2 linked regions of the Arabidopsis thaliana genome follow. The protein of the gene in region 2 interacts with the protein of the main gene of each other region in a pairwise test. Each region holds a gene or a part of one and is shown on either strand. Other genes may lie near its edges.

Region 1 (3,881 bases), 3.0 Mb from region 2:
TACTAGCTAGTAGGTAATGTCCTTTATTAACTGGTATCTCTCTGTTACTATATATCAATCAGACCTGCTTTTGGATTTGATAAAGAAAGTTACAGAAGATTCTGCTCTTCCTGCAAATCTTTTAACGACTGTTCGTGTCCTTGTTAATCTATTCAAGAATTCTTCATTTCATTACTGGCTACAGACGCATCATAGTCAAGTAAGGACTCTTTCATTTCTATGATTTTATACCAGAACTAGGATGTGTGATGATCTCGATGAACCTACTAATTGGTTTAGCTGTGACTTGCAACCTGAGGAGAAATTTTTGGGTTTTATGTCTAATATACATTGCTTTTTTGCGTCTGGGCATATAAATTAAGTTTCTAATTACATTTAAACATAAGATAGTGCCTATACATGTGTGTGTTTATTATAATAATTTGAGAAGTGGTTTTAATTGCTGTGGATCAATGCAGATTCTTGATGCCTTCTCAAACTGTTATTCATCCCCAAATAAGAATCTGCAGTTGGCTTATTCGACGTTGCTTCTCAAGTAAGATCTCTCTTATATTACTTTCTTCTAGTTGGATTTTTGCCAAATTGTAGCTTTATTCTATTATTAAACTCTCTGTGGAGAAAGATCAAACCGTAATCTATGCTTTTGTTCTTCCTCAGTTATGCAGTGCTATTAATAGAAAAGAAGGATCAAGAAGGTCAAGCTCAAGTCCTTTCAGCAGCTTTGCAGGTACGCCTAAATTTGGTTATTTTTAACCACTGTTGCATACATCCAAATCCTATTCATCGTCACCGAGTTGAATCTCATCTGTTTTTATTTTGTCTCTGTCACTTGCACAAATCTCTGAGATCAAAGTAAAATCGGAGAAGACCAATGTACCAAATAGTTTATTATCATTTTTTTGGTGCTAAAAATATTTAACTTATTACTACAGGTAGCAGAAGAAGAAGCTGCAGATGTTGATTCCAAGTTCCGGAGTCTGGTAGCAATTGGCTCACTGGTTAGTTTCCGCAACAACTAGAGTAACGTAATCCACTTGTTGTTAATTACATAATTTAATCGGTGTGTGTTTGTAACAACAGATGCTTGAAGGTCTCGTGAAGAAGATAGCGATAGATTTTGATGTAGAGAGCATCGCAAAATCAGCGAAGGCGTCAAAGGAAGCCAAGATTGCAGAAGTTGGGGCCGATATCGATCTTGTAATTCGTCAGTAACCTTAAAAGAGAGTCTGTGATCGAACCCGGGATTTGAATTTTCAATGATTCCCTCAAGAATTTTCATATGATTCAAAATCACTTTTCCTTGAAATGCAATTCAACTTTTTTGTTTTCAGATTTCTGAATACTAACATATGTTAAAACTTAAAAGATTATGGCTTATGGCTTCCATTTTGAGTAGAATTTTTGATCACCCCACATTAACATTCTACTAAGCGAAACCCTAACGTTCTTCTTCTTCAAATGCCAATGTCTTGGCCTTATCCTCTTCCCCAAGCTAAACGCAAAATACTGCGGAAACTTCTTGAGCTCTTCAAGTTCTCTTTCCATGTCGTAAACGAGAAACTCGAACTTGGGCCTCAAGTTATCTTCAACACTGTATCCGAATATCGCCGGGATTCTCCCACAGACTCTAGCTGCTTCCTCGTGTTCGAAACCTATACTCTTCAAGAATCTCATCTTTGCTCTTAGCTTCTCAACTCTCGTGTTCAGCACGTGCGCGTTCGTCTTGCTGGCTCGGTTCAGATTCCGTACCCCTAGCTCCTTAAGGTAAACAAGCGTCGGTCTCAAGCAATACTCAACGTCGGAGAAGAGGATGTTCGGGCAATTTACGATTAAGCCCCTGGATTCTTCTGCGGAAGCTCCAAGCTCGCCGGTGAGAAAATCGAAGACGGGATCGAGTTTAGAGATGTCGAAAGTGGGCGAGAAGAGCTGTGGACAGAGGAAAACGAGGCGTGGGAAATCTTCGTCGGAGATTCCTTTCGATTTGAGGAGATTCACGGCGGAGAGGATAACGGAAAGATCATTCGCCGGAGGAGCAAGTCGGGGATTCTGAGGAACAATTCCGAGAGAAGAAAGGTGTCTTAGATTTTCACGGTGTGAGGTTTGGAATTTTAGATAGAGAGGCTTAGAGCTTGAAGGAGAAGGAGGAGACGAGAAAGACGAGAGAGGTTGAAGATGATGAAGTGAAGCAATAACAGCCATATCGATGATTCTTCACTTCTTACTTCTCATCCCGGTTCGATTTTATTTATATCTGTTAAATAAACCAGAAATTAGCTTTTGAAGCGGTTTAGTATGAGGCCGGTTCTGTTAACTACTATACTTCATGGACCTTAATATAAATTGGGCTGAGATAACAAAGCCCATCATTATAAAACCCCTAGACCAGAAGAATCTTTTTCTCTTTGCTCTTTAGATTCTCAAAATCCAGAGAGAGCTCGTTAGGAAAAATGAAGGCAGTGATAGGGACAGTGGTGTCGAACAAAATGCAGATGTCGGTGGTGGTAGCCGTCGACAGACTCTTCCACAATAATATCTACAATCGATATGTCAAGCGTACTTCCAAGTTCATGGCTCACGATGAAAAGGACTCCTGTAACATCGGCGATCGAGTATTTTCCCCTTCATTTTTTGAATTTGATATACATTTGATCAAGAGCTCGAAAATTTAGGGAAGCTCTAGGAATATTTGAACTCAACCATTGGAAGTAGACTTGCCTGTTTGTTATTAGGCTGCTTTGGAAATGAAACTTGATTTGGTTGTTTGAAATATTAGGTGAAATTGGATCCTTCAAGGCCTTTGAGCAAGCATAAGCATTGGATTGTTTCAGAAATCATAAAGAAAGCACGCATTTATTCTCCACAAGCTGCTGCTGCGGCTCTCAATTCCTCAACCTCCATTGCTGAGCAGCCCCCTGTTTCGTCTTCCTAAGGTGATTTAGTTATTGCTCTCTAATTTTTTGTATCAGAATATTTTGTTTCAGTGTATTGTCCTTTGATACCTTTAGTGGAACTGCATGAGAATTGAACTTTGCTGTTTGACATTTGAGTTTTGATACTGTTTCTAAAGGTATGAGAGGCTATTGTGTGGCAATATAGCTTGTTAGGCATCTTGATGTTCCATTCTTAAGTTCTTGGAATCCATTTTGTGCTCCCTACATTTTCTGTGTCATACCCACTACGATTTATAGCTAGTTAGGCATCTTGATGTGCATCTACCGTAATCTATTTTTCTTACCTTTTTGGTTGGTTAGGCTTTAAAACTCTGACTGTTCCTCTTGCTGCAGTTTTGCAGTTCTGGCGCAAACTCACCCCAGGGTCGAACAATGTGGGTCGCAGACGTAGCACCATCAGAAACAGAGAATGTGGTAACTTCGAACATAATCCATCAAGCTGTAGTGTAGTGCTTTAGTAGATGATATTGATCAGATTTCGATCTCCTGATTACTTGTATAATTGATGAATCCGAAGTTACAGATTATCTATTGAAAGTTTGATGAATAATTTTCACTCTAGCGAAAAAAAGCTAATTCAAAAAGACCAACAAGTTTACAGAGATTGTGTTGGTCAAAATCTATTCATAAGTGATGTTAAGAAGACCAAACTTACTCATCTAATTGGATATAAGCATTTGGAGAAAGTAAACGCCAATATGTAACAATGCATATAAGAATCCAGCGCCAAAAGTATTCAAATTCTAATGTGTCCTATGAAATGATTCTGGTTTGGATCCAAGTTTTGGAACAAACCAAACCGAATTAGCCTTGCCATGTCAGCATACTCCAATCAAACATTGATTGGTCTCTTGTAATGTTATGTGGGTCCCATCATATCAAGATGCAGTGGCAGACGCAGTAGAACTCTTGCTGAGTCTCAATTGTATC
Region 2 (5,670 bases):
ATTATAAATTAAGTTTTGTCGTTTACATAAAATATGTTCATGATTAGGAAGGATTTAGCCTTAAGTCGCAAAGCTTCTCGACGTTTCTCCTTCTTATTTTATTGTTCAATCTTCTTTATGATGTTTGTACTCACGGTATATGTCGGTATCGTAATAATACATGCAACTTTTGATGATGAATTATTTGACATATTTAAATACATCAGTTTTACAAAGAATTATCACAATTATCATTTTATAATTGTTATTCAACAATTTTCTAGAATATGTCCTTATAACTTTGCTATGGAAAAGATGTAACAATTGTACGTAATTTCACTTTAAATTTTGCATCCTGTTGTTCTCAAAGTTATCAGCATCGCAAATCTTAGTCATAAAATAGTGTATACTGTATAGTATATAGTAATGCACGTATGACGTAAGAACATTGAATGTTTTTTGATATTGGTACATCAGTGTAAGGCATGTAGATCCCATCGAAGCGACCAGATCGAAAGTGACAAAATAACAAAAGGGTGGCAAAAGAAATAAAGCCATAAAGTTGCAAGAAAGGAAAAACTACTTTGTTTTCTTTATCCGAAATAGGACTCGCAAATTGCAGTAGCATATGTCACAATTGATGATCAAGATTCATCTAATACATATAGAATAAGATATGGAAATCTATTAAATCCGATTTCTTTGAATATGAACTATGATAAAACTATTGCTTGATTAAGTGTAGCCTTTGGTCCAACTTTGCATATGAACTGTGATAAATAATATTTCAAAGTTGTTTCAATATAAATTTATCAAAGTTATTTCAAGTTGCATAATTCAAATGTGAGCAGTGTTTAGATTGGGGCACCAAATGATTAAAAAATAAAATAAACATTTCATTCATATATGTTTTTTATACAAATGACACCATTATACGTAATTCTAAATACGTTAATATATATATGAGTCAGGAGGTTGGTGTAATAGATGAGAAGAATGAGGTTCTTTGGTCAGAAGTGGAAAGCAGACTCAGCCTCTATTTTATACTCAAATCAATTCTTCATACCTTCCACCAAAACTTTACTCAATATTTAAAACTATACTATAGCCATCTTCTTAAATAAATCTAACCCAAAACATGTTTCACAAATTTCTCATTTTTGTGTGGTGTTTGATCTCTTTGAGTCTTTTTTTTTTTTTTAATCTCTTTAAGTCTTTATTACAGTATATCTTTATAATTTGCATTTAACACCATAAAATAGATATATTGTGGTAAATTGTTAGGGTTATCAACTTGTCATAAAGCACAAGTACTCTTTTTCACAACTATAAGTCTATAATTTAATCGAAAAGAAAACACAGATTTTTTTTAACATAACAGGTATTTAGTAGACAGAAACACAAAAATACAGAGTAAAAACAAGTTCTTACTTTTAAACCACACAATACATATATAATAAACTTGGTTTTGCTTATATTTCTCTAATTACAGTTTCAAAACTCAGATTCTTAAGAACGCTGAGTTTGGGGATTCTATGTTGCCTTAAGCTCCGGCACTGAAGACATTTTCTCCGGCGAAGTTAATGGCAGCTTCGAATGAAGTTGGTGATGGAGAAAACAGATTTTCTGAAGAGAGATTCTGACCCATAAATATTACTCCCTCCTCCGTATCATCCTTATCGATAAACCCTAAATCAGGGAGAATATCTCTATGATCGGAAAAGGAACGGTTGAGATTGGCATTGAGAAGATTGCCGGTTGTGATGTCATGGATACTTGGCCTGCGTTTGTCCTTGGCTCCGGAGAGCTGTCTCTGGTAATACTTTTGGGCGTGGCTCGCCACTTGCGTTGGCGTCTTTGACACCACGAAGTTTCTCGATATGTTTCTCCAATCTCCTTTACCGTACTTGAGAAGGCCTAACAAGAATCTCCTGCAAGGAACAAGAAACAGAGCATTGAAAACCCTAAGAAAAAAGGGGATGACTTGCGTTGCAAGGAACCTAGGAAGAGTGACTTATATGGAAAGAATTCTGTAGAGATGAAAGAGTGTCTTAACCTGTGTTCTTCCTCTGTCCAAGGGACTCCTTTCTTTCGATCTTGATCAGATCCTCTAGCTCCACTAGGCCGTTTACGACACATGTCCGTGTCAAACCCCAAGGGAGAAGAAGCTGCAGGATAACCAGGAATGGGAACACGTCCTGCTTCAATATCGAAAACGTCTTCTTCAAGCTTACTATATTGCTTCATAACATCAAAAACAGTCTTTCCAGGGATCATGGAAGCAACTTTAAACCAGCGATCAGGCGAGTCTTCAGCGTATATCGCAAGAGCTCGTTCGAACATCTTGTTCTCTTCTTTAGTCCAGCTACCGCTACTCGAGCTGTGTAAGCTCACCATCTCTTGAACAACGAACCGGTGGTCAGAGATAGGTAGGTGAGAGAATGGATGCAGAGTCTCCATACCTAAAAACAAAAAAAGGGAAGAATAAGTTTCAACTACAAACACAGCTCAAAAAAGTCCATTTTCTTGCTCTATGTGTGGAGGAAGCTTAAAAGATAGATTTGTGATATAAGGAAATAATGGAAGCTTTTATATATAAGGTTTAATGATAATATAGTAGGAATCAAAGAAGAAGAAAAACAAAAGGGAAGGAAAAATGAAGAATCGTATACTGAGGGAATCAAGAACCTGATTTGGGTAAGAGATTTGAAGCATATATAAAACCGACCCTCGAATCTGAAAAAAGACTCAAAGCTTTGAAGAATTTATGAGAATCTGCAAAAGTGAGTCGTCGAAGGAAGACAAAAACAGCAAAGCAAAGCCCACTTGAGAGATAGAGAGAGAGGAGAAGACTCAGAAGCTGAAGAAGACCCAGTAAAGAGAGAGAGATAGTGAAGGAAGAGTAATATACAGAGAGAGAAGAGTCACTGTAGATATGGGAACAGAGTGAAGAGAAAGAAAAGGAAAGGTTTCTTTATTTTTGGGAAGATTTGGCGTATTTGGATTGGAGAACAGCGAATGGCACCACTCCACTCGGATTCTTGCGGTTCATTTTTCTCAGAAAGAAAAAAAAAGTTGATTGATCTATTTGATTCTATTATTTAATTCTTTGGAATACGACAAATTTGTTCTATCGCCTTTTTTCTGGTCCACACGGAGACATACTGTATGGTTTTGTTATAAATATAATGTTTTGATAATTACAATCAAAAGCGCCTGTAGCTCAGTGGATAGAGCGTCTGTTTCCTAAGCAGAAGGTCGTAGGTTCGACCCCTACCTGGCGCGATTTATCTCTTTTTATATCTTAATTTTGTCTCCTTAAGGAGGTTGTTTAGGATTAAGTTCTTACCTGGAATTAAGTGATGATTGGTTTTAGTATCTATGCGTCGGTGGAAAATATTTTTAGAAAGTGTGACAGATTCAATAGCTAAAGCTCATTAAATCCCACTATCTCTCCATTTTACTTGTGATGCTCACATAAGTTTTAAATTACTTTCTGCAAACAGAGAAAATCAAATAAAAGTATATCGGTTGTATCAACTAATCAAACTGTACAAGGTTTTTTAACTTAAGTTAATTTTGAAGAAGAGAAGGCTACATAGAGTCATAGACGATAGGATACGAATGCTTTGAAGTTTATTTCTCATCTGCAATAGAGACAAGAGTAATTTCTTGCGACAAAAGTTAACCAGTAACTCTTATAATATTTCGACTGTCATAAAATCTTTCAAGGAACCTAATAATATAACATCTCACACTGTTCAAAAGATAAATCAAGAGTGTTTAGCATAATAAGACATAAGCAGAAGAAGTTTGGGAGAATATGACGATCTTAGGCAGCAATGGTAAGGCCACCAGATCGAAGTCTAAGCAGCCAAGACATTCTCAAACTTGAGTTCTTCAACAGCAAGAAAATCTCTCTGTACTCTTTCTTCACAAACAAATCCAACGCAAACAAGTAAAGATCACTACCTTGCTCAACCTCTTCCATGGAGTCCAAACACTCAATGCATTCCCCAATGGTATACTCGTACTGCCTAACCGATGCACTCACTGGACTCTCCTTCATCAGCTCAGTTTTTAACCTGTGGCATCCCGGAGTTACAATTTCAACATCTTGTAACCGAGACTCTGCAAAACCAACACTGTTAAATCTCCGGTGCTGCGGAGTAGGCTGCTCATCATCGTCATCATTGTCATCTTCATCAGCTCCACCTTCACTACCTGAGACTGGCTCGTTTGTGTAAAGTGTTGATAATGGAGTTGGGTCATGTAGCTGTGGTGATTCGGAATGATGATCAAGCACTCTCCTGCGATAAGAACGGAAATAGGCTTTTCCTGGTTCTATAAGTCCTTTGAAGATGGTTGCTAGTTTATCCGCGTGAGGAAGTTGTTTCCTTCTGAATGGTGCTGCTCTATGATTCTCCTGTTAATCAAAGAACCAATGTTAAGCTGCAAACTTAATCAACTAATATAAAAAGTCGAGTAGCGTTTATACCTTCAAGTAGTTTTTCCAGTCTTCATCAGTAGCACCAAATGTTCGAGAAGTTGCATCCCATTTCATGACAGGAGCACCAATCACTTGACACCAGATCTTCCACGATTTCCTGGTGCAATCCCAATGATTCTTGAGTTGCGGTCTGGTGAAGCTTTTACCGGTATTCTGATTGATAGTCTCAAGGATCATTTTCCAAGTTTCCTTTGGATAATGTGAGTCAGGTCTGTTTCCTTTTAAAGCCTCTTGGAACAACAAATCAACAAACAGCTCATGTGAAGACGGTGACCAGTATCCTTTCGACTGAGGACTCGAGAAATTAGAAGCGCTTTGCGTGTCTTCTTCATCTCCAGTATTATCATTATCTTCATCACGATGCTTGGCTATTCGCTTCCTTTTGCTACCTGAAGTACCTTCATCATCTAAGTTACTATCTTCAAAGATAAGCTCAAGTTTCTCGAGGAACGATGGAGGATTCAACCGATACTGCCCAGCCTCAGGATTCACCTGTCACAAATCCAATCATGAGTTTTATTATAGACTCAAGAAACAACCAAAATCAACACAGAAGATAAATTGTACATGTAAATAGTTGGCCCAGTCTTGATCATTAGCACCAAAAGTGTTAGTCTGAGGATCCCATTGCATATCACTGCATTGAACAAGTCTACACCAAATCTTCCACTGCTTGATCATTGTATCCCAGTGATTCTTAAGCTGGTTTCTGGTGAACCTAGCGCCAGTTCTTTGTAGAAAAGGTTTCAATATATGCTGCGTTCCAGGTTGATTCCCTAACATCTTTTGCTCGACGCATAAGTCCACAAATACTCTGTGGTATTCTGGTTCCCACGCAGCTTTCGGCATCATAACTCTTCACTATACGAATAGATAAGTAAACAACAACAACATAATTGAGAAGTATGTATGGACTAAACACACATTTGTCATCCCACAATTGCTTTTGATTGGAAGCATTACAGGACTTATCAATTCCAAATGCATAGATTCTAACAAATTCATAACCAGGAGACAACAAAAGACGAGAGACCCAGAAAAAAATAAAATAAAGCAAAGATTTTTGCAAGGCAAATTCTGAAAATCTATTAGATCATTCATGTGATGAAAATTAACGCAATTTAGAGTTAAGCTCTGTACACTAGATCGAGTACTATTTGGCCCTAACATTGAAAGAACGA

Evidence for each region.
Region 1: the proteins of AT3G11280 (region 2) and AT3G18870 interact in a two-hybrid assay, tested with the Arabidopsis thaliana proteins (one large-scale study listed by BioGRID).

Annotation. Positions count from the first base shown.
Region 1 is NC_003074.8:6,507,141-6,511,021, forward strand, and holds AT3G18870 (Mitochondrial transcription termination factor family protein), read right to left. Parts: upstream 2,204-3,881; 5' UTR 2,200-2,203; coding exon 1,375-2,199; 3' UTR 1,245-1,374; downstream 1-1,244. Other genes in the region: AT3G18860 (transducin family protein / WD-40 repeat family protein), read left to right, coding at 63-199, 459-535, 658-727, 933-998, 1,081-1,212; AT3G18880 (Nucleic acid-binding, OB-fold-like protein), read left to right, coding at 2,448-2,609, 2,774-2,929.
Region 2 is NC_003074.8:3,531,955-3,537,624, forward strand, and holds AT3G11280 (Duplicated homeodomain-like superfamily protein), read right to left. Parts: upstream 3,041-5,670; 5' UTR 2,668-3,040; exon of another isoform or gene 2,442-2,667; 5' UTR 2,440-2,441; coding exon 2,036-2,439; intron 1,911-2,035; coding exon 1,523-1,910; 3' UTR 1,257-1,522; downstream 1-1,256. Other genes in the region: AT3G11290 (Myb/SANT-like DNA-binding domain protein), read right to left, coding at 3,812-4,405, 4,478-4,981, 5,057-5,341.